Linked DNA regions of Drosophila melanogaster. The gene in region 1 interacts genetically with each later gene. Each region holds a gene or a part of one and is shown on either strand. Other genes may lie near its edges.

Region 1 (6,354 bases):
GCATTCGTGCTTCGCTCCACGGTGCGTCTGTTGATCTTCACACTCATCGAATCGATGCAAACGTTGTCGATGTTGTGCGCCTCATCAAAGACCACACAGGACTCGCGGCTCATTTCCTTAGATACCACCTGGGCAATTTTCGGATCTAATAGATAGTGGTAACTGTATACCACAATGTGAGCATGGGCAATCTGGTAAAGAATGCAAGATATAGTCAAATCTAGTCTTGAAATTTTCAAACGAAAAAACTCACAGCATAGCGAGCCAAAAAGTAGGGACACCAGTTGCGCGACCGACCGTATTCCTTAAGATCATCGATGCTGTAGACGCCGACCGGCAATGTGGACTCCTTGCCTTCCAGGCTAAATCCCTCAAAGTACTGGCCTACAAGTTCGCAGTTGAAATAATGGTTACATATGGATAACAATAGTCTTACAAATGGGCGTCTCGGTGTCCATCTCGTGCCGTTCGCGAATGTAGCTGGCAGTGAGTCCGTAACATTTACCGTCCACGGCCTTGCCCTCGCGCTCCTTACTGACCTCCGGATGGATGCACATGTTCTTCCTAGAGCTGAGCACCAGACCGGTGAAGGGTGGTGGATTGGGGCAGTGGCGCTCGTAGTAAACCATCAGGTTCTGCAGCTCGGCGATCACTTTCTCGATCTCCGGAACAGTACGCGAGCAGTAGATGAGCTTGCGCACCGTTTCCGGATGCTCCACCATGTAGGCAACGATCAGGGAGAGCAGCGTGGCCGTCTTGCCCGTTCCCGAGGGCATCTCCAACAGGCAGTGGCCCTTGGCGTCCAGGCTACGCTTAAGTTCCAGCATGTAGGCATATTGTTCCGGGTAGATGTACTCGTACGGAAAGTACACCAACAGGCCGTCCACGCTGAGCCTGTGGACTGGGTTGTTAAAGGAGTACTTTCATTTATCCCGTTCTGCCACTTACTTCATTATTCGCCTATTCCGGGATAATTCACAATTCCCTGTGCCGGCAAACTATCGATGGTACTATCGAGGTATAGAATTTGTACCATCGTTATCGATGGGGCTGTGAAAAATTTGCATGGATTGAGTACAAGTTTTGATATTTTTTTGGTCAACTTCTTTTTATTTTGTAACTCTGTGAACAGCGTAAAAATATTTGATGTTAGAGCAGAAATCTTATTTTTAACTGTTTGAAAATTAATAATAACTATTTAATATCTATGCATTTTAAAACTAAAAACATCAATTTCAGTAAGCAATATCTTATAAGTTTCGTTGAACAGTGTAGTAATATTTTTAGTATTTTTTTCTAGAGCATTGTGGTTTTTTAAACCCTTCAGCGAGGGTTACATTAATATTAAATACTAAAATTTAGACCAAAGTTTAGTTGCTTCAGTTTATTTATTTATCTAAATCCCACATATTTTCATAGCATGGACGACTTAAATCCGCTGGCGGGCACGGCTCACCTCCTGGAAGAGGTTGACAGTGAGTAAATCCGAATGAAAGGAAGGCCAGTCGTTGAAAACCGGCGCATTGCAGAGAAACTGATGGTACTTTTGAGAGACGGACGGACTCTGATTGGATACCTGCGGTCCGTGGACCAGTTCGCCAACCTGGTGCTGCAACGCACCATCGAGCGGATACATGTGGGCAACGAATACGGCGACATTCCTCGCGGAGTCTTCATCATTCGCGGGGAGAATGTGGTGCTACTGGGCGAAATAGTAAGCTTTACTCGATACTTTTTCAATATGACTGATTAACACCCTTTAAATATGCGTAAAAGGACCGTGAAAAGGAGCAGAAACTGCCACTCAAAGAGATATCCGTCGATGAAATCCTGGACGCCCAGCGTAGGGAACAGGAGCAGCGGCAGGAGAAACACCGCCTAGTATCCAAGGCACTAAAGGAACGAGGCCTGGCCGTAGATGCCAACATAATCAACGAGGACTTCTGCTAAGACTCCATTTTTTCCTAAGCACAAAGTTAGATTAAGCTCAAAAGATTTTCGTCTCTTTGTATATTTGTACTGCATTAAAAAACTATGTTAAAACCTATGTACATATTGCATGCAACCTGCTTAGCCTGATCCGCCCGCACCCGACCCCTTTCCGCACTCCTCGAGCAGTATGTACTTCTCTAGAATCTGGTACATCTCCACCTTGGCCTTGATCTTGTGCACGCGCGACAGTTGGCGCAAATACGCGGCAATCGACTTGCAAAAGAAGTCGTCCTCTGTTTCGCAAGTCTTTTGGGTGATGACGGCCGTGGGATTGGGTAATTCTGGGGCGGAATGCTCTCGCTCCTGATTCGCATTGGGCGGCATACAGACCAAGTAGTTCAGATCCGCGTGGTTAGACTCAATAGGCTCAGGTGCGGACGTCGCATTCGGAGCAGCGATTTCCGGATGAATTGTGACCACCTTGACCTTTTGCTCGCACTCCGCATCCCCCAGGAACTCATCGAAGCTCTCCTGTTCGGGCTCCTGCCCATCGTCCGCCTCCACGACCACCGAATACGTCTCCGATTGTGTGGTATGAGACTCCAGCTTAGCGTCGTAGTCGTGTTGCTCCTCGCCCTCATCGTAGGCGTGCGAACCTTGCTCCTCGATCAAGGTCTCTGTGTCAATAGGCAGGCGGGTACGACGCCGTCGCTGTAAATCAACCTTCATCCACCCGGTTGGCTTTTGTTCCCGATCCCGTTCGCGTCCTCTGCGCTCGCGTCTCTTGCGCACAAAGTCCCGCAGGAAGTCCATCTTCCGAAAGAAGTCATTGTGACCAAACTCGCCGGACGGATGCAGGCGCTTCTGCTTAAGCTCCCGCGAATAGCGATCCCGCAGACACGTCCACCGTCGCCGAGCGTCTGAGATGGAGATGTTTAGCAAATCCGCCACTTTTGCCCAGTCCTCCTCTTTGCGCTGCGACAGCCGAAAGGAGGGCAGCTGGGGATCGTACAGCGACGGCGTCTCGCGGATGGTTTGTATTAGGAGGATATCCGAATCGTCCAGAGGACGGTGGTTTGAGCTCATTTTAATTTGTTTAATATATGTTTAATATTGACCAGTGTTGCCAGATGTATTGTCATCGACACAATGCTAAAAAGATCGACACCGCCGATAGCGATTATTTTTAAAAGGTAGTACATTTAAGAAGATTTGATTTCATTTAAATTTATTTAAGGTCATTTTTATTTTGTTGTCATTATTTTTTTATATGAAACTTTTGGATTCCATAATGAAAATTCTATTTCGTTTTATTTTTTATAAATATTTGGAAAATTTTTTAATACCGAAACGTTATGCACCACATACGGTCACACTGCCATTAACAGCACAATTTCCAGAAATGCCTTGAAAATGTCAACTTTACAGGTCTGGCAACGCTTCAGGCTTTAGGGCAGCCATTTTTTTCACGCTTTGTAAAAAGTTTTTTTAAAAGCCGTGGAAACCGCAGAAAGGTCGAGAAAATTGTTTTTCGCCAGTTTTAAACGATTGTGTTGACCAACCAAAGTATGCAAAACTAAATATTGTGTGTGCGTGCCGTGAGTGAACCAAGCAATTGAACATGGAAACCGTGGTTGCCTTCAACAATGAGGTAAGCTATAGATGCATTAGAAACGAGGTTCGTTATGGAGCAGCCGGCGTGGTTGCACAATGTCCGCTTGAAGTCGGTATTCGGATTGTCCAATGTGCGGGAGGTATACAGATCCTGCTGGAGGCGCAGGCAGAGCACCGAACAGCACCGCTCAGGGTTGCTTTTTGGCCAGCACCCGATAACGATAACTCCATGTCCCAGATATCCGTAAACTATAGCCGTACTGTAACATCTATATTTCTCCTTAGCTCTCCGGACTCTATGACAGCCGACCGCCCATTTCCAAAGCGAAGATGGCCGCCATCACCAAGTCGGCGATGCGGGCCATCAAGCTGTATAAGCACGTCGTCCAGAGTGTGGAGAAGTTCATCTTGAAGTGCAAGCCGGAGTACAAAGTACCCGGGCTGTATGTAATCGACTCGATAGTGCGCCAGTCGCGCCACCAGTACGGTATGGACAAGGATCTGTTCGCGCCCCGATTCCAGCGTAATCTCACGGAGACCTTTGCCAACTTGTTCCGGTGCGCTCCGGAGGACAAGAGTCGCATCATCCGGGTACTGAACCTGTGGCAGAAAAACAACGTCTTCAAGTCCGAGGTCATTCAGCCGATCTTCGACCTGGCCGACCCAAACCACCCAATCTACCACCAGATGCCTCCGGTGGGTGGCAGTGGAGGACAGGGCGGCGGCGTGGGTCCAGGACCCAGCAGCAGCGGTGCTCTTAGCCTGGCGGACATATCGAGCGGTCCGAACGGTCTAAACAGCTCCGGAATGGAGATAAGCATGAACAGCTCCGGGGGCGACGATAAGATGGGCGGTGCCATGCCCGACTTGTCGGTAAGTGATGCTTTCGGTTGAGGCTTCTACAGGTGTCTAGTATTGGATAATGGCTTAACTAACATCGTCTACAATTCTGCTGCATTTACATTTCTCTGTCTCTCATGTCTTGCCCACTAACCGCCCATTTTGCCCTTCGCCCAATCGCTAGCTGGGCCATGAGAAGTTCGGCGGTGGCAGCAGCAGCTCCAAGCGTCACTACTCGGAGCAACACTATTCCAAACGACAGTCGGTGGTCTCGTGCTCGTCGAAGACCAGCAAGTCGCATCATCACAAACGGGAATATGTCAAGAGCTCGCACGACATTGACTACCAGGTGCGGGAGATCATCGAGGAAGAAGATGAAGGCCTGCAGATGCTGATGGCAGATGATCACCACTGTATGGGCGACGACTCACCGCCCACTTCTTCAAACCTGTTAGACGTATGGCGAACCCCATTAACACATCTCTTCATTTAGATAGTTTTGTTTATCTTAAGTTTCTATTTGTTGCTTTTGTTGCTCACATTAGATCGATCCCATTTTGAATAACCTTTTAAATAACTCTTTCAGGAGAAGAAGATCAAGCAGCTGCTAAACAATCCGAATGTGCTGCGGCAGCTCCATACGCTGCAGAACTTCCAAAATTTGAAGCCGCAGGAGGAGAACCAGAAGCATCGCTATCAGGACGAGGCACTGCAGCAGCATTTCCAGAACGTAATGAAGGTACATCTTATGATTTCATGACGATGTACATATTTTCATTATGATTTGCTTTCAGGGAAATGCTGGTATGCCGCCGGGCATGGGCATGGGCATGAACATGAACGACAGCATGGACCTTAACAAGGATGTCGAGTTCATATCGGAGCAACAGACCATAGAGGTATACCCTTCTACTTTTCCAATCTATCTTAGTTCCTGGGGTCCGACTTGTGTATGCTTTTCACCAAGACTTCGCCATTAATTTTGGTCTAAAGTATAAACATATTAGATGTAAAACGGGTGATACTATTTGCCTTGTGCTGACGTGCAGTTAATCCTGGAAATGTGTTCAATATGTTGTTATAGCTGATGGGATATTAGCGTGTTCGAATCCAAATTGATTCAACTAGTTGTAACGGGGTGGTCTTGCACTATTTAATCAATAACTTTAATACTATATATCTTGAATATGCAAACAATTCAATTCCCAATCCATTTAAAATTAAATTTTATTTTGTTGTAAAAAAAATGTTTAAAATCAAAAGATGATGCTTTTGGGCAAACCCTAAATCAGTTTCATAAGTCGATCTATATGTCCCCAACATATATTTGAACTATAAAACAATTGCCAATATTTGAATAAGTCGAACCAATAGTAAAATATTTAAAAAATATGCAAATGAAGCCAAAGGTAAGGTTTTAAAATCCACATAATATCCGGCGGAACAACTCGTTACCCGATGCTAGAACAACGTTTGGTAAGTTCCTAATATGTAAATAAAAATGTTGCTCGAAAACGCAAATTGCCAATTAGTCCGAAATAACTAGATGAATGAAAGTCGAAAGCGAAACAGAACCACACGTCAACACACGCCAAAGAATGCAGTTTATTGAGTCGATAATAACGTATTCGCCCTGTGGCCAGCCACTAATCCCGAATCCTCTCTATCCCACTGAACTTTTTTTTTTTATTCTTAACAAAATTTTTATCACGTATCACTCTCAAATTTCTTGCAAACACTCCCATCTCCGATAGGTGATCAATCTGGATGGTGGCGATTCCCGCAGCCCGACGCCCGACCGTGATCGCTACAAGCGCAGTCGCCGGAACAGTCGCAGCCGGACGAGATCTCCGCGAGGACGTGGCGCCGGAGGAGGCACGGGCAACGATCGACGTCGGCGTGGCACTCGTTCCCGATCGCGCAGCCGATCACCACGGTCCAGCCGGCGACGCGGATCAAGGGACCGGG
Region 2 (6,411 bases), on another chromosome or scaffold:
CGGCGACAACAACAACAACAAAGCCAGGAAGCTTTGCGTACTATCGGTGCATCAGCTGTGCGCTGAATCTATCGATTGCACTCGATTAAGGCGGTTGGCTAGCTAGAAATTCAAAAAAAAAGCTAGAAATTTATACATTAAATAATTTTGAAAGTTTCGTTTTGATTTTAATCCGCAATTTCGCATATCGCCAGCAAATGCGACATATATACGCAAATTTTGTTTCTGTTCCGTCTGAAGTAAAATAAAATGTTCGTAGTTTAAATGTTTTATTCGACAATAACAAATTCGTGTTTGTGTGTGTGCTTAACAACAACAATAAAAAGCGTAATTAAAGTACGCTCTACACATCTAATAAATGGGCACTGTTGGCGTTTTCTATCAACTGGGTGTGTTTTCTTCGATTCTTGTGGCTTTTTTTCTTCACGGAGAGAAAATATCACATAACTGGTGATTTCATCCTGTTCCACTGGGCGCTTTACAAATTTCGATGCAGTGCATATAAACTTCGATATAAATTTCATGTACGTTCACACTTAACTTAGACATAAATATTTAAAAACTAAGTTCATTGTCTAAAAGTTAGCAATATGATGGCCAGAATGAAATCTGAAAGTGGTGAAAATGTTGGTTTTGAAATAATGTTGCATTTGGTATGTAGAATATTTCCGCACAATCATTCAAAATATGCATCTCTTGTGTGTGGTAATTTTGATAGAGCCGTTTACAAATCGTAATTTTCATCGCTGAAACGTAAGCATCTTCGGTTTTTTTTCCGTGTACAAATTAGACATCCTTGTTATCCAGAATATCGTCGATGAGTCCGACGACCTTCTGTCGAAACTTTCGATTCTGCTTGCCGTTCATCTCCTTGATGTACGGATGCAGGCTGATCAGAAAGGAGTAGTCGGCATCCGGTTGTGAGCCACCTCCTCCTGGTCCGCCAGTGAAAACACTTAGAGCTGACGTAGCCGGCTGCGGCGGCGGTGGTGGTGATGTTGGTGTTGTTGTTGTTGTGGTTAACTTGTGATGACCGCTGCCATGTCCCTTGAACCACTGCGTCAGATCCGACCAGCCCAGGTGATTGCCCAGCGCGGCGGCGGGCACCGAGACCAGCGACTGCTGGCTCACCATCCGCTCCAGCTGCTGGTTCGCATTTGACGAATCGTGCTCCACTTTGATGGAATGCAGGCGGAGCGGCAAACAGGCGGTGGGTTGCTCCCGATCCTGTTCCTGATTACGACGATGCTCCTCCTCGGACACCTGAACGTCCAGCGGCATCTCACCATCGCTCACCTTGGCCTCCTCCTCCGCCGCCACCACCTCATCTTCCTGCTGAGCAGTGGCAGCTTGGCCGGGTTTGCGGAGCACCATGCCCGGCAGCTGCTTGTGGCAGGATCGCGACTTGGTGAACGGAACGAGAAACTGAAGATACTTCGATAGGTAGTATTTGCGCTTGCCGCGTCCCGTTTGTGTGCGTGCCAGCTTCAGGGATCGCAGGAAGCTGCTCCTTATGGTGCGCCATCGCTCGCGACAGTTGCGAACTGCAGGAGAAACAAAACACATCTTTTACAGTACAAATTTCTACGGTACAAATTGAAACTTGTTCACCAAAAGGTAACCACAGTACTGAGTTGATTTGCACATCAAACTCAATTCTTGGATTTATACTTGTTTGTAACATGGAATATTTTGTAGTTTAAATACTTTTATTTTGTATTTATTTTGAATTTATTATGGGAATTTAGTTGTACGAATAGTACTTGGTTTTTTTCCAGTGCACCTTGGCTGAGTGCAGCAACAGTAAACGAAAAGCGAAACGCAAAAGCAGCAACAAATTGCAGGCAAAAACTGCGCGACACAGTGACACACCTACACCAATGCAAAGCCAGGCAAATGGAAAACAACAACAAGTGCATTCGTTTCGCACACCAATTCGCGAAAGCTTGCATCATAGACACACACACGCACAGACACACACACACACACACAGGCGCGCGCGCACACGGACAGTGAAATGAGCACGCAATTGGCGGCGAAGAAGAAGAAGAGGAAGAAGCAGCAGCTTGAGGCGGAAAATCGCCGTTGCCTTTTGCCGATTTATTTTTTACCGCCTTTTTACCCGTGTCCTTGATATCGTTGGCAACCTGCTGCCACGCCCTCTGCACATCCTCCTTCTTGCTGTAGCCCGGATGCGTGTAGTTCCACAGGCACGGCTGATTCTCCACGAACTGCACGAACCGCACATTGAAAACGGGATCGTCCTTGCGCGCCATTGCGACCCAGCACATGCCTCTGTCTGTCTCGCTCGCTCGCACACGCACGCACGCCGCCAACTAGAACGGTGAATCGCACATGCAGTTATTCCAGGAGCGCTGCTCTGCAGACGGTGCAGATGGCGGGGGGCGCGAACGAAAAGAGGCAAAACAAAACAAAGGGGGCGACACAGAAAAAAAGGGGAGGGGGCGCGGCAATAGAATTGCAAGTGCAAGTGCAACTGCTCGCAGCAAACGCGCAACCAAAACTGCGCGCAAATTGCAAATTGCAAACTGCAAATAGCAAATAGCAACAAAAGCTGCAGCGCAAACACTTTATGCTGGCACAAAACAGCAGCAACAACAAGTGGCAATCGCTGAGTCTCACGAACAGCGAATACCCTACACCGCTGAAAGGCAGCAAGATCTACACTGAAACATAATTAGCAGGATATTGCAATGGAGCACATCTGAATAAATCGAATGTAAAGGTGTACAGAGCAGCATCTATATACACTAACCAGAAATAATATATTTATATTGATATTTATTCGCCGAATAATGAAATTTCCCAAAGATAATCAAAAGATCACACAATTTTTCATACTATTTACTAATCCTATAAACTCAAGGTGATCGTAATCGAAGTGTTTATTTCTCTTTAATTGTATTTTTTGCACATTTCAACGGTTACTAAAATTATATCGACAACTTTGCGACTATTTCGATATACCCCGATGACTCCGCGATTACCGCATATCGAAAAACTCAACGGCGAACAACAGCTGCAATAAAATTGTATAAGCTAAGCAATTCAAATGCCGCACTTGCAACGCTTGTGTGTGTGCAGGCGCTTCTGTGTGTGTGCGTGTGTGATTAAAGCTTTGGCGATGACGTCACACGCTGCATTTGTTGCATGCGATGCTAAAGTGATGAAGACAAAAGCAATCAAAGACAAAACGCAAATTAGGCTAAAATGTTTGAGCTTGTAGAAATTAAGCTGAATGGTGTACGTGCAGCTAAATTCCAAGATCGTTTAATGCATGATCATATAATATAGTGTTTATTTAATTAAATTTACTAAAAACTGGGCGGAAATGATTAATTTTCCTCAGTTTTAGAAAAAAGTAGATAAATTCGCTAAGCAATAGGCCATTTAAGCCATGTTTCGAAATAAAATCAAATTTAACCTGATGTTAATTAATTAACTAATTAAATATTTGACTGTTGTCATTGCACCTAATTTTTTGACTATTTACATTTTTAAATATTTTTTAGCTTGAAAATCGGTGCTTTGTACAAAACGAAGTCGATAGCTTCTAGCCAAGTTAAGTAATCGAAACAATTATCGCTACCATTTGCGCATCACTAACCAGCCAGTGCATATGTAACAACTATTTTTTGTATTTCTTGGGAAATCTGTTAGTTTTTAGCCAAAAAACATGGCAACAAGCGCCAAACTGATGCTAGGCAGCGGCCTCTGCCAAAAGCTAAGCCAGGTGAGCAGATAAACCAAAGGATTCCAGTAAAAAATCACCTAAAATCTGTTTTTATTTCACGCAGCTTACCAGGCAAATACACATGCAACCGGCACTTATGTCCAGTTTTCGTTCATCCCGCGAAGTTCAGGAGCTGGACAAGTATCCTGAAGTGGAGGTGGTGGCCAATCCGCCCGAGTGGCGTTTTGTGGAGCGCTTGCTACCAGCGAAGACAGTACCACAGCCGGTGGAGAAGCCAAAATATCCATCCGGCTGGCAGCCACAAAAGGAGGATGGCTCAGAACTGGGTTACCATGTGGCCAGGACGAAGAATCACATGGTGCCCGTGTATCTGCACACCAGGTTCCGTGGCCAGCGCCGGATCACGGTGGTGCGACGCGTCCAAGGAGACATTTGGACGCTGGAAAAGGATCTGCGTGCGGTGGTGGAGCAGTCGCGAAACGGCAAGGTCTGCGCCACGAGAATCAATGAGCTGAGCGGTCAGATACACTTCCATGGTGACCACGTGGACGTCCTGCGTGACTATCTCAAGGAGAAGGGCTTCTGAAGGTCCACAAATGAACCGTCTGTGCCGCAATAAAAGCTTTTCTGTTGATTTAAATCATGTGGGATTTGTGTTCTTCTGTCTCGCCTCACCTAAGGCGGCTTACCCACATTGTGACCTCCTACCCATAGTATCCAAGTCTGGATAACAAAACTGCTGGCCTTCCGGAGATTGAATCACTCGCAGGCAATCGAATTAAATTTATGTTGAACGCATGCCCACTTGGCTGCAGTTCGCTTTTATTTGCACTTATCTTTTAGCATAAATTACATACATCGTCTGTATGGGGGAGGGGAGAGACACACACACACACACACACACACAATATTCTGAGAGTGGGACTCGTACAAACTACGTACGTACTAAAATCTACGGGAAAAGGAGGTGAGGATGGGTGGCGGAGCTTAGCCATTTTGATGAACGCATTTGAAGTCTGGTTCGGGGGCTCTGCTACGGCTACTACTGATACATAAACGTCTACGGCTGCTGCTTCCTCGGGCGCGGCCGTCAGGTACGCGTCATGTGGGCGTAGGCGGCAGCTGCCACGCCCCAACGCTATCCGCTAGCTCCTGCCATTGCTGGCAAACCGGACAGGCTAACGCTTACGCCGGAAGTGGGCGTAACTGTGCCAGCAGCGGTGGCCGACGAGGAGGATCGCTTGAGGGCCTTGCGTATAATCGTCCAGTCCTCCATGATATCCTCCTCGCGCAGCATGTACACGACATAGGGACCCGTGACGGTGACGGCCTTCTTGCGACCCGGTCCGCGCACCTTGCTCTGCCGCTTGTCGGTGCCCCAGTCGGCCCACGAGATGTCCACGTTGTGGCGATCCTCCTCCAGGCGACGGATGCGCTCCATGAACTCCTCGCGCAGATTGTCCAATGCCATGTGTTTCTCGCTCTGCAACGGAAAAGTTGTGAGTTGCAAGAGGATACATTAACAACTACTTCTACGCTTAAGTTAAGCCATCATTTGTCTTAAATCGTTAATATATGGCCTATAAGTGAGTGACATTTTGTGTTGTAATTAGCTTTGGCAGTGTCGCCCCCAGTGCCTTATCAACACGAAAGCCAATCTAATTGCGACGATATGGTGGCCAATTAGCTCTTCTCATTTTTGGCGCCAAAAATCGAGATTGGTTATGTACCTCAAAGTGCTGGACGGCAGCTTGTTCCTCGGACTGGTATTTGTGCTCGATATTCTGCAGTCGGTACTTGCGCAGGACGTCCGCCACCTCGATCCTGGTGCGATACTTCTTGTCCAGTTCCTTTTGCGGCTGGACAAACTCCTCGGAACGCCCGGAACGCACCTCGGCCAATTGTCGTTCGATGAGATTGATGCGCTCGACGTAGTACTGTTCCCGCAACTCGTTAAATTGGCGCTCCAAGCTCACTGTGTCAAGGAAAGAAGAAACTCGATGAGTATGGCTTGTGTTAAGTGTGTACGTACTGATTCCTACGCAAATCCTCGATGTGCTCTGCCCGCCGGCGGTCTATTTCACTGGCATCCAACTCGGAGGAGTCATCCGAATCGCATTCGTTGGCCTCCTCCTCGTCGGAGGTGTCGTGTGGCTGGCTGGAATTCGAGTGCTCCGATTCTCCGCCAGAAACGTCGCCTTCGCCATCGGATTCGCCATTCTTCACGGGCATTTCAGAGTGGATTTTGCGGTTCTCCTTGTTCTCGGCGTATTCCGATTCGGCAATGGACTGCAGGTGGCCGCCGGTATAAGCGCGATATCTTTTTTTGTTTGCTTTCGACAATCGGGGAGTGTGGAAACTGTGGAAAACTCTGTGGAAAAACACTAAACTGTGTGCTGTATCAAAAAAAGTATGACCGCACGTAAGAGTGTTGGGCAATTTAGTGTTGGTCAACGCAAGCGGAGCATCTAGCTGAGTGGCTACAAAATAGCTAAATCTGCGAAAAATATTATTCATTAAGTTAAACACATTAAAATATTAATGTATCATTGAATTTGAAGTAACCTGGACCACTAAAATAAGAGAAAATAAATTTGGAATTTACCCATGTAACTATTTAAATATAAAAATGTTACAATATTTTTGTTTGATGAAAAATAATGATATTAACTCTGTCGTAAATTAAATTATAAATA
Region 3 (6,411 bases), on another chromosome or scaffold:
TTATGAACAGGCTTTACGATGCACGGCAAAAAAAAAAACACATTTAGGATCTTCGAAACGAAGTTATAAAACTTCATGAAATAAGCATAAGAAATCTTCCACACAGTTTTTGCACAGAAGATGCTCAGACTGTTTCTGATTTTGGCTCAGTGTAGGACCCATGTCTCTCCAAAAAATACCGAAGCTTATTCACGACCGAGTTCACTTACCGGATTGGCGTAGAACGGCGGCTGATCCGCCGCAATCCCGGAGAGGTAGGCGGACATGCCCTCCGGATAGACGCCGAGCGGGACTCCGCCGGCGGCGGCTAGTCGCTGGTAGTTGAGCATGTCGTACTGGCAGGAGCAGATCGTCTGGCCGCTCACCGGATCCGTGTAGATGGTGCGACCCGTATCACAGCAGCGGTTGGGCGGGTTGCCCGCTCCGGGCGCCGGTGCTCCACCGGGGGCGGAGGAGTGCGGTCCCGGTGGCGGTGCGCCCACCAGCGAGAGGGCGGGCAGGCCGGCGGACGGACCGCACGGCGAGGTGGAGCGAGCGCCCGGCGGCACCGTCGAGGTCACCATGCCACTGTGTCCTGGCCCGGCGATTCCCGGTGCACTCAGCGGCTGGGCGGCGGGACAGGCGAGCGTGGGCAGCGTCGAGGGCGGACTCTGCGGAGCGTTGGTTGGAGGCGTGTTGGGCGACGAGGTGGCAAGGTGAGTTGAAACGGCATTCTGCAAGTTAAGTGGAAGACAACAACGTTGAGTGCATTTGCTTAACGGAGCTAACAAGCGTTTGGTACTAAAAATAGCTGTCCAAGTTGATTATGAACAATATGTTGTACAATAAGTAAACAAATTTGAAATAAAATAATAAATAAAATTTATAAATTTAAGTACTGCACTACTAATCCCTTGATAGCTTATAATAAAATGTTTTAAGGCCTCTTTCTAAAACGAAACTTTTTTAGAAAAATGTTCTTCATCTTTGAAGTTAATTTCAGTAAATTGATTATCCGACTTTGATCTTTTCCAATTCGTTTCTCGAGTTTATGGCGGCCATTAAGGCGCTGCTTCTTGCGCTGGATAAAAAGCCCCAATAGACGGTCTACTGTACCGCGCTACCAGCTGGCACTAAAACTTAATTAAAAACGTAGCCCCTTATCAGTGCGATAAGAGCGTCTCTTCAGTGGGATGGGTTGTGGGCTGTCCACGGGCCCTTCAGAACTGCAGAGCCTCAGAACCACAAAACTGGGATCCCAACCGATGGATTCTTCCCCCCCTACAAACTGTGCTCTCTCCTCTCTCCACTCCCGAAAACCCCTTTCCCCTGCGATCCGGCGATCTTCAAAGTGGGGCCGCCATTACCAACAAATCATGTTTTCGATTGACAACATTGATTTAAATTACACAGCCGATTGCTGCCAACGACGACAGCGGCAACAGCAACAACAACGACAAGCTGCAACAACGTCCTAAGAGCAATTTGATTGTAAGTTGTCCAATGACTGCCTGGATCGATCCTCTATATGGTATGGTATGGTATGGTATAGCATGGTATATAGTGTGTTTGTGTGTGCACATAAGCCTATCGCGCACTTTTGTCAACACTTTTAGTCAACTGAAACAACTGCAAGAGCAACAACTGCAACAACTTCAGTGGACAAGAGCAACGTACACATTCGCACACATGCGACATGGGGTAAGGAAAACAAGTTTCAGGTTTGTTTATCGCTGCCTCCTTGGTTAACTTCTCCACTTCTTGAGGCTTGGGGCTGTGGGCTTTGGGGCTCCAGGGGCTCCGGGGCTTCGGGGCTTCGGGGCTTGGAGCCGCTCTTCCCGTTTAACATTTTACAAATGATCCGAGGCGTAAGATACGATTTTTATCGCAGGCCGGCGGTCACAGTGCTGCATGTTGTATCATCGGTCGTGATTGATACCGCCACAATGTTGTCGCTGATGTTGCTGTTGCAGTTGGGATTCGGTTCGGTGTTGCGTCTCGTGCTTTCATCAAGTGACAACTCAAGTGGCCCTATGCGATTAAAAATTAATTCCCGGTGTTTGCCGGATGGCTGGATGGATCCACAATACACTCGTACGATTTCTTATCAATGCGGCTCTTTGAATCAACCGCCGATGATTATCGACTATCTATGGCTACAGGCTATAACTATAACACAACAAATATCTCAACTCGAAGTGGTCGTTTTGCGGCTAAAGTAAATTATTTTCGGGTAGCCATTATGATGGCGAGGGTAGAGTGACAGCCATTCATGTTTGTTTAAAGAGCATTTAATATTTCCGATATTCCGTTTCAGCTTTCGACTTTGCGCCACAAGTTGCTTTTACATACATATATGAAAATATATGAATATGCTCGAGTGTCGAGTGCAAGCGATTAAATTTTTGGAACAGGGATACCATATTAACTGGGGATCGTGTTACCACTGAGGGATTATTATGGCTAAAATCCTATTGGACACTCAAGTGTGACTGAGCACGATGTGCGGTGACCTTGCCAGCTTGGTTAACAACCAAAGAGACATTGATGCATAAGAGAGATTTTCCGAATTGGCAGACGGTTTTTCGCGTGTTGTTCGCCCAATGTAGCACACTTGTGGTCCTGACATTTTCAATCTGTTTTATTTTTAAATCCATGTCTTCCGTTTGCCAAATCAAAATGCTAAGGTATTCGAACCCAGAGTAATCCCACTGTTTCTGCTTTTATCTACATGTGTTGCACTGATTTGCCTCGTAGCTGAACGGGTTTTCAATCTAATTGCCACTATCCAAATGCCAGACAAGCTAAAATGCAGCGATTAACTGAACCATCTTACAAGTAATAAAAAATGGGGGAAAAAAAACAAATTGATATACGCACCATTACTAAACAGATACCGGTTTCATTACTGTGCACTGTCATTTAATATTAATTTTTGCTTTTAACTAAAACTATAAAGCAAATCTTAGAGTTACGATGCACCGATGGACTCGCGCACTGAACCGACGTATGTGTATTTAGATAGATTTATAATCCGAGTGAAGTGATTGTGATTGTGCGATCTGTGATCTTGTGATTGATCCGAACTAGTTTTTATGTTGATTTTGGATCCGGCTTGCGAGCTATTTCAGTGTTTACTTTCTTTGGGCTGTGTTTATTTTTTTTTGTTATTCGTTTCGTTGCACTGCGTTGCACTTGCCGACGGCTGCAAGGAGCTGGCCAACTCGAGTTAGCTGGCCAACACAGGCGCTACTGGGCACCGTAAATCCGTAAAATCCGACGGGCGGCTCGACGGGAATCGTTTATGTGAGTCGTTTAAATTTGTAGAATTGGTAGAATCGGTATTCGGGAGGAGCAGCTCTATCCGGAGGATGCGAAAACGAAGCACGAATGAACCAGAGGCGGCGGCAGCAAATAGTAGTATCTGGGTGTGAATCTGATTCTGTTTCTGAATCTGGGTACTGAATTTGAATCCAGCTCGCAGAACGACGGCGAGCGGCGGGCAGAGAGCACTATTATTCACACTGCGGCACTGGCACTGCGGCGGACACGAACGATACGAACAATCTGCGTAACAGTCAAAAGTAGACTAACATGAGTTTCTTGAGCAACTACAAAGTGTACGACAAATGGGAATTACACGACAACCGACAATCGAAAAACAGCGCAGCGCAACAACAAGAACAGGCCCACGCACCACCACATCGATACATAGCCCGCGCCGCGTTTGTATGTGTGAGCGAGAGAGCGCACAAACGGGTTTCTCCCCTTAATTTTTACTCGCACCTTCGCTGGTGTGCGTGCGCTCTCTTTGCTCTTTTTGAGAGCGGCCAAGTATCTGTGCGCTGGTGTGCGTGCGAAAAGTATCTGTGTGCGCTGGAAAAAGTAGCAAACGAGGCGGCACGACGACAACACGAACGGCAACAACGGCAATAATGATTATCATTATAAGTGGGCTGGCGCTCCGGCTGTGTGTGGCACTCAGGGGATTGGGATTGGAATCGGCATCGGAATCGGTATGCTACGGTAGATACCCCTCAACCCCCTACCGAAACGTAGCCACCAATCTCGCTGCAAGTGCGAGCGAGACGCAGCAAACCAGTTGGTTAGGTGGAGGGGTGGGGGCAACAAAAAAAGTATCTACCGCCTGTGTGACCATAAATAAAGTATCTGCCAGCTGCGGCCGGGCGAGAGCGGGATGGCTATAGCCGCTGCGCCGTTGGCCACGAATCGCAACCAAGCGGCAGCGACAGCGGTAGTATCGCAACTTGCTCGCGTTGGCTGTCGTCTTGCTGGCGTGCGAGCGAGATGGCATAGCAGCAGCAGCAGCAGCAGCGGCGACAAGAAGCAGCAGCAGCAGCAGCAACACCGAGAGCGGCAGAACATGAAAAAATTAACTTAACAACTAGAAAAATGGCTGTTATTGCGTGTTGTTGTAAATGCCGATGTATGTATTTGTAGGCGATGTTGTTGCTGTTGTTGTCGGCGATGATGTTGCTGCTGTTGTTGCTGCTGCTGTTGCTGTTGCAACGCTGCTACTTGCTGCTGCTGCCGCAGTTGCTGTTGCTGCTGCTGCTGCTGCCGTGGGTGTTGCTACGTGTAGTTGTTGCCATAAACAACGCAACAACAACAACAACAACAAGACGAATGTCGCGACGTATGAAAGCAAAGTGTTTACGCTCGCTTCTCGCTTTTCGCCGTTGATGAAAAAAGAAAAGCCTGATGAACATGAACGACGAGACTCGTGAAGAGGTTGGGCCAAACGCGATGGGTAATGTTTTATCATCCGCCTCTGCCGCAGTCGCTGCTACGGCCGTTCCCCTCCAGAAACCCCCTCCTCCCCCATTACCCCATCCCTTTGGCAACCAACCCCCTGCACCGCCCCTCTTGACCGCTTTGGCTCTTTGGCTGGATTGGTGGCATCTTTCGCGCTGCTCCAACAAAAAAAGAAAAAAAAAAAATCAGAAGAAAAAACGAGAAGAACAAAAATCGCCACCGCAGCTGCCGTCGCTGCTTTTGCTGCTACAACATACGCTCTTACATTTTATTATGTAGGTATTTGTTTTTTGTTTTTTGTTTTTTGTATTTTCGTACTTCGCTTCTCGTTTTTGCCGTGGCGTTTCTTTAACTTTTTCTAATTAATTGAAACGCCACTCGAGAGGAGTGACGGCAGCTGCTAGAGCGGGATGGCGTCTATGTGCTACATATGTATCTGAGTGCTGAGCACATTTGAAAGCTACTTTGTCGTTCCTGGCAATCGGTGGTTATCCCTGCTCCTGCCCCTGCCACTGCATCTGCCACACCCACCGCACATCTACCGCCCCCACCTGAGCTGTGTGTCGCACACGCAGTAAACAAATTCTTACAACATTTAAATGAAGTCACCATCGCCGAGCAGCAGCTTTATCCTTTTCCATTGCTCCGACATTAACGATTAGTTTCTCGATAGTCATTTATTTGGGCGGTTTTCCTTTCCATGGGGAAAAGTTTTCATGAAAATTAATGGATTGATAGTGCCAGAATAAATGTTTAACCAACCACTGTAATAAGGTCACTAACATGGGGTTACGAGTGTATTTTTCTGAAATTTCACATTTGTCTTGAATGACTTTAATACTTTCAACCGAAAAATATGTCTTAAAATTTCCCAAATTATTAATAATATTATATTTTTTATTTTTGTAATATTATATCAATAAATATTGCAAAAATTTGGTAATTTATTTTAAAGTAAAGTTGACAATAAAATTAATTTAAAAAAACTATATACTGTAATCAAAAATGCGTCTATCCCTTAACATTTTTGTTTTTAAAAATTGTGTTACCCCAATATATTCCAAAACTAAAACTTTCGATATTTTTATATAAAATGAAAAGATTTCATTCATTCTTAAATGCCAATACGAATTTTGATCACTTAAAAGGCAAGCTTATTAAGAAAAAGAAAATGGTGTTTCCTGGTTAACCCACTTGAAGTGACTTTTACGATCCGTATCTGTATCTGGCATCAGTATCTTCTTTTTAATTCGGAGCGACATTAATTGGCTCGCGAGCAACAAATTCAGATCACGTTAACCCATTGGCGCGCCTACAAAATTGCCGTCGCCTTCTGTGCAGAAGCACAGCAACAACAACAACAGCAGCAACAGCACCAACAGCAGTAGCAGCAACAACTGCAACAACAAGACGACAACCGCAGCAGCAAGTTCTCCCATGGGCGGGGAAAATGGTGGAAAAAAGGGGGGTACGCAAGTAGCAACCTTTTTCGAGGCGGGCTCACTGGCGCTAAGCGAGCGAGAGAGCGGGAAAGAGAGAGAAAGAGTGCGCCCAGAAAGAGTGAGACAGAGTGCCAGGGAAAAGTTGCCCCAAATGGCCGCAAGCAAAAGCGGGAGGGCAAGATGATGCCAAAGCCGACTCCCCGAAAAAAGAACC

Evidence for each region.
Region 2: of hng1 (region 1) and CG4404, changing one enhances a phenotype caused by changing the other (phenotypic enhancement), as found in Drosophila melanogaster (one study listed by BioGRID).
Region 3: of hng1 (region 1) and mirr, changing one enhances a phenotype caused by changing the other (phenotypic enhancement), as found in Drosophila melanogaster (one study listed by BioGRID).

What each region holds. Positions count from the first base shown.
Region 1 is NT_033778.4:21,165,661-21,172,014, reverse strand, and holds hng1 (hinge1), read right to left. Parts: upstream 3,086-6,354; 5' UTR 3,019-3,085; coding exon 2,071-3,018; 3' UTR 2,005-2,070; downstream 1-2,004. Other genes in the region: Xpd (xeroderma pigmentosum D), read right to left, coding at 1-191, 254-384, 437-894, 949-953; LSm1 (uncharacterized protein), read left to right, coding at 1,421-1,475, 1,530-1,714, 1,777-1,950; Isha (insulator su(Hw) mRNA adaptor), read left to right, coding at 3,554-3,583, 3,832-4,419, 4,571-4,843, 4,973-5,125, 5,181-5,285, 6,141-6,354.
Region 2 is NC_004354.4:12,903,491-12,909,901, forward strand, and holds CG4404 (uncharacterized protein), read right to left. Parts: upstream 2,529-6,411; 5' UTR 2,292-2,528; coding exon 2,123-2,291; intron 1,545-2,122; coding exon 787-1,544; 3' UTR 255-786; downstream 1-254. Other genes in the region: mRpL49 (mitochondrial ribosomal protein L49), read left to right, coding at 3,698-3,754, 3,819-4,301; BRMS1 transcriptional repressor, read right to left, coding at 4,854-5,198, 5,446-5,690, 5,758-5,947.
Region 3 is NT_037436.4:12,690,802-12,697,212, reverse strand, and holds the start of mirr (mirror), read right to left. Parts: upstream 3,575-6,411; 5' UTR 2,902-3,574; coding exon 2,860-2,901; intron 714-2,859; coding exon 210-713; intron 1-209.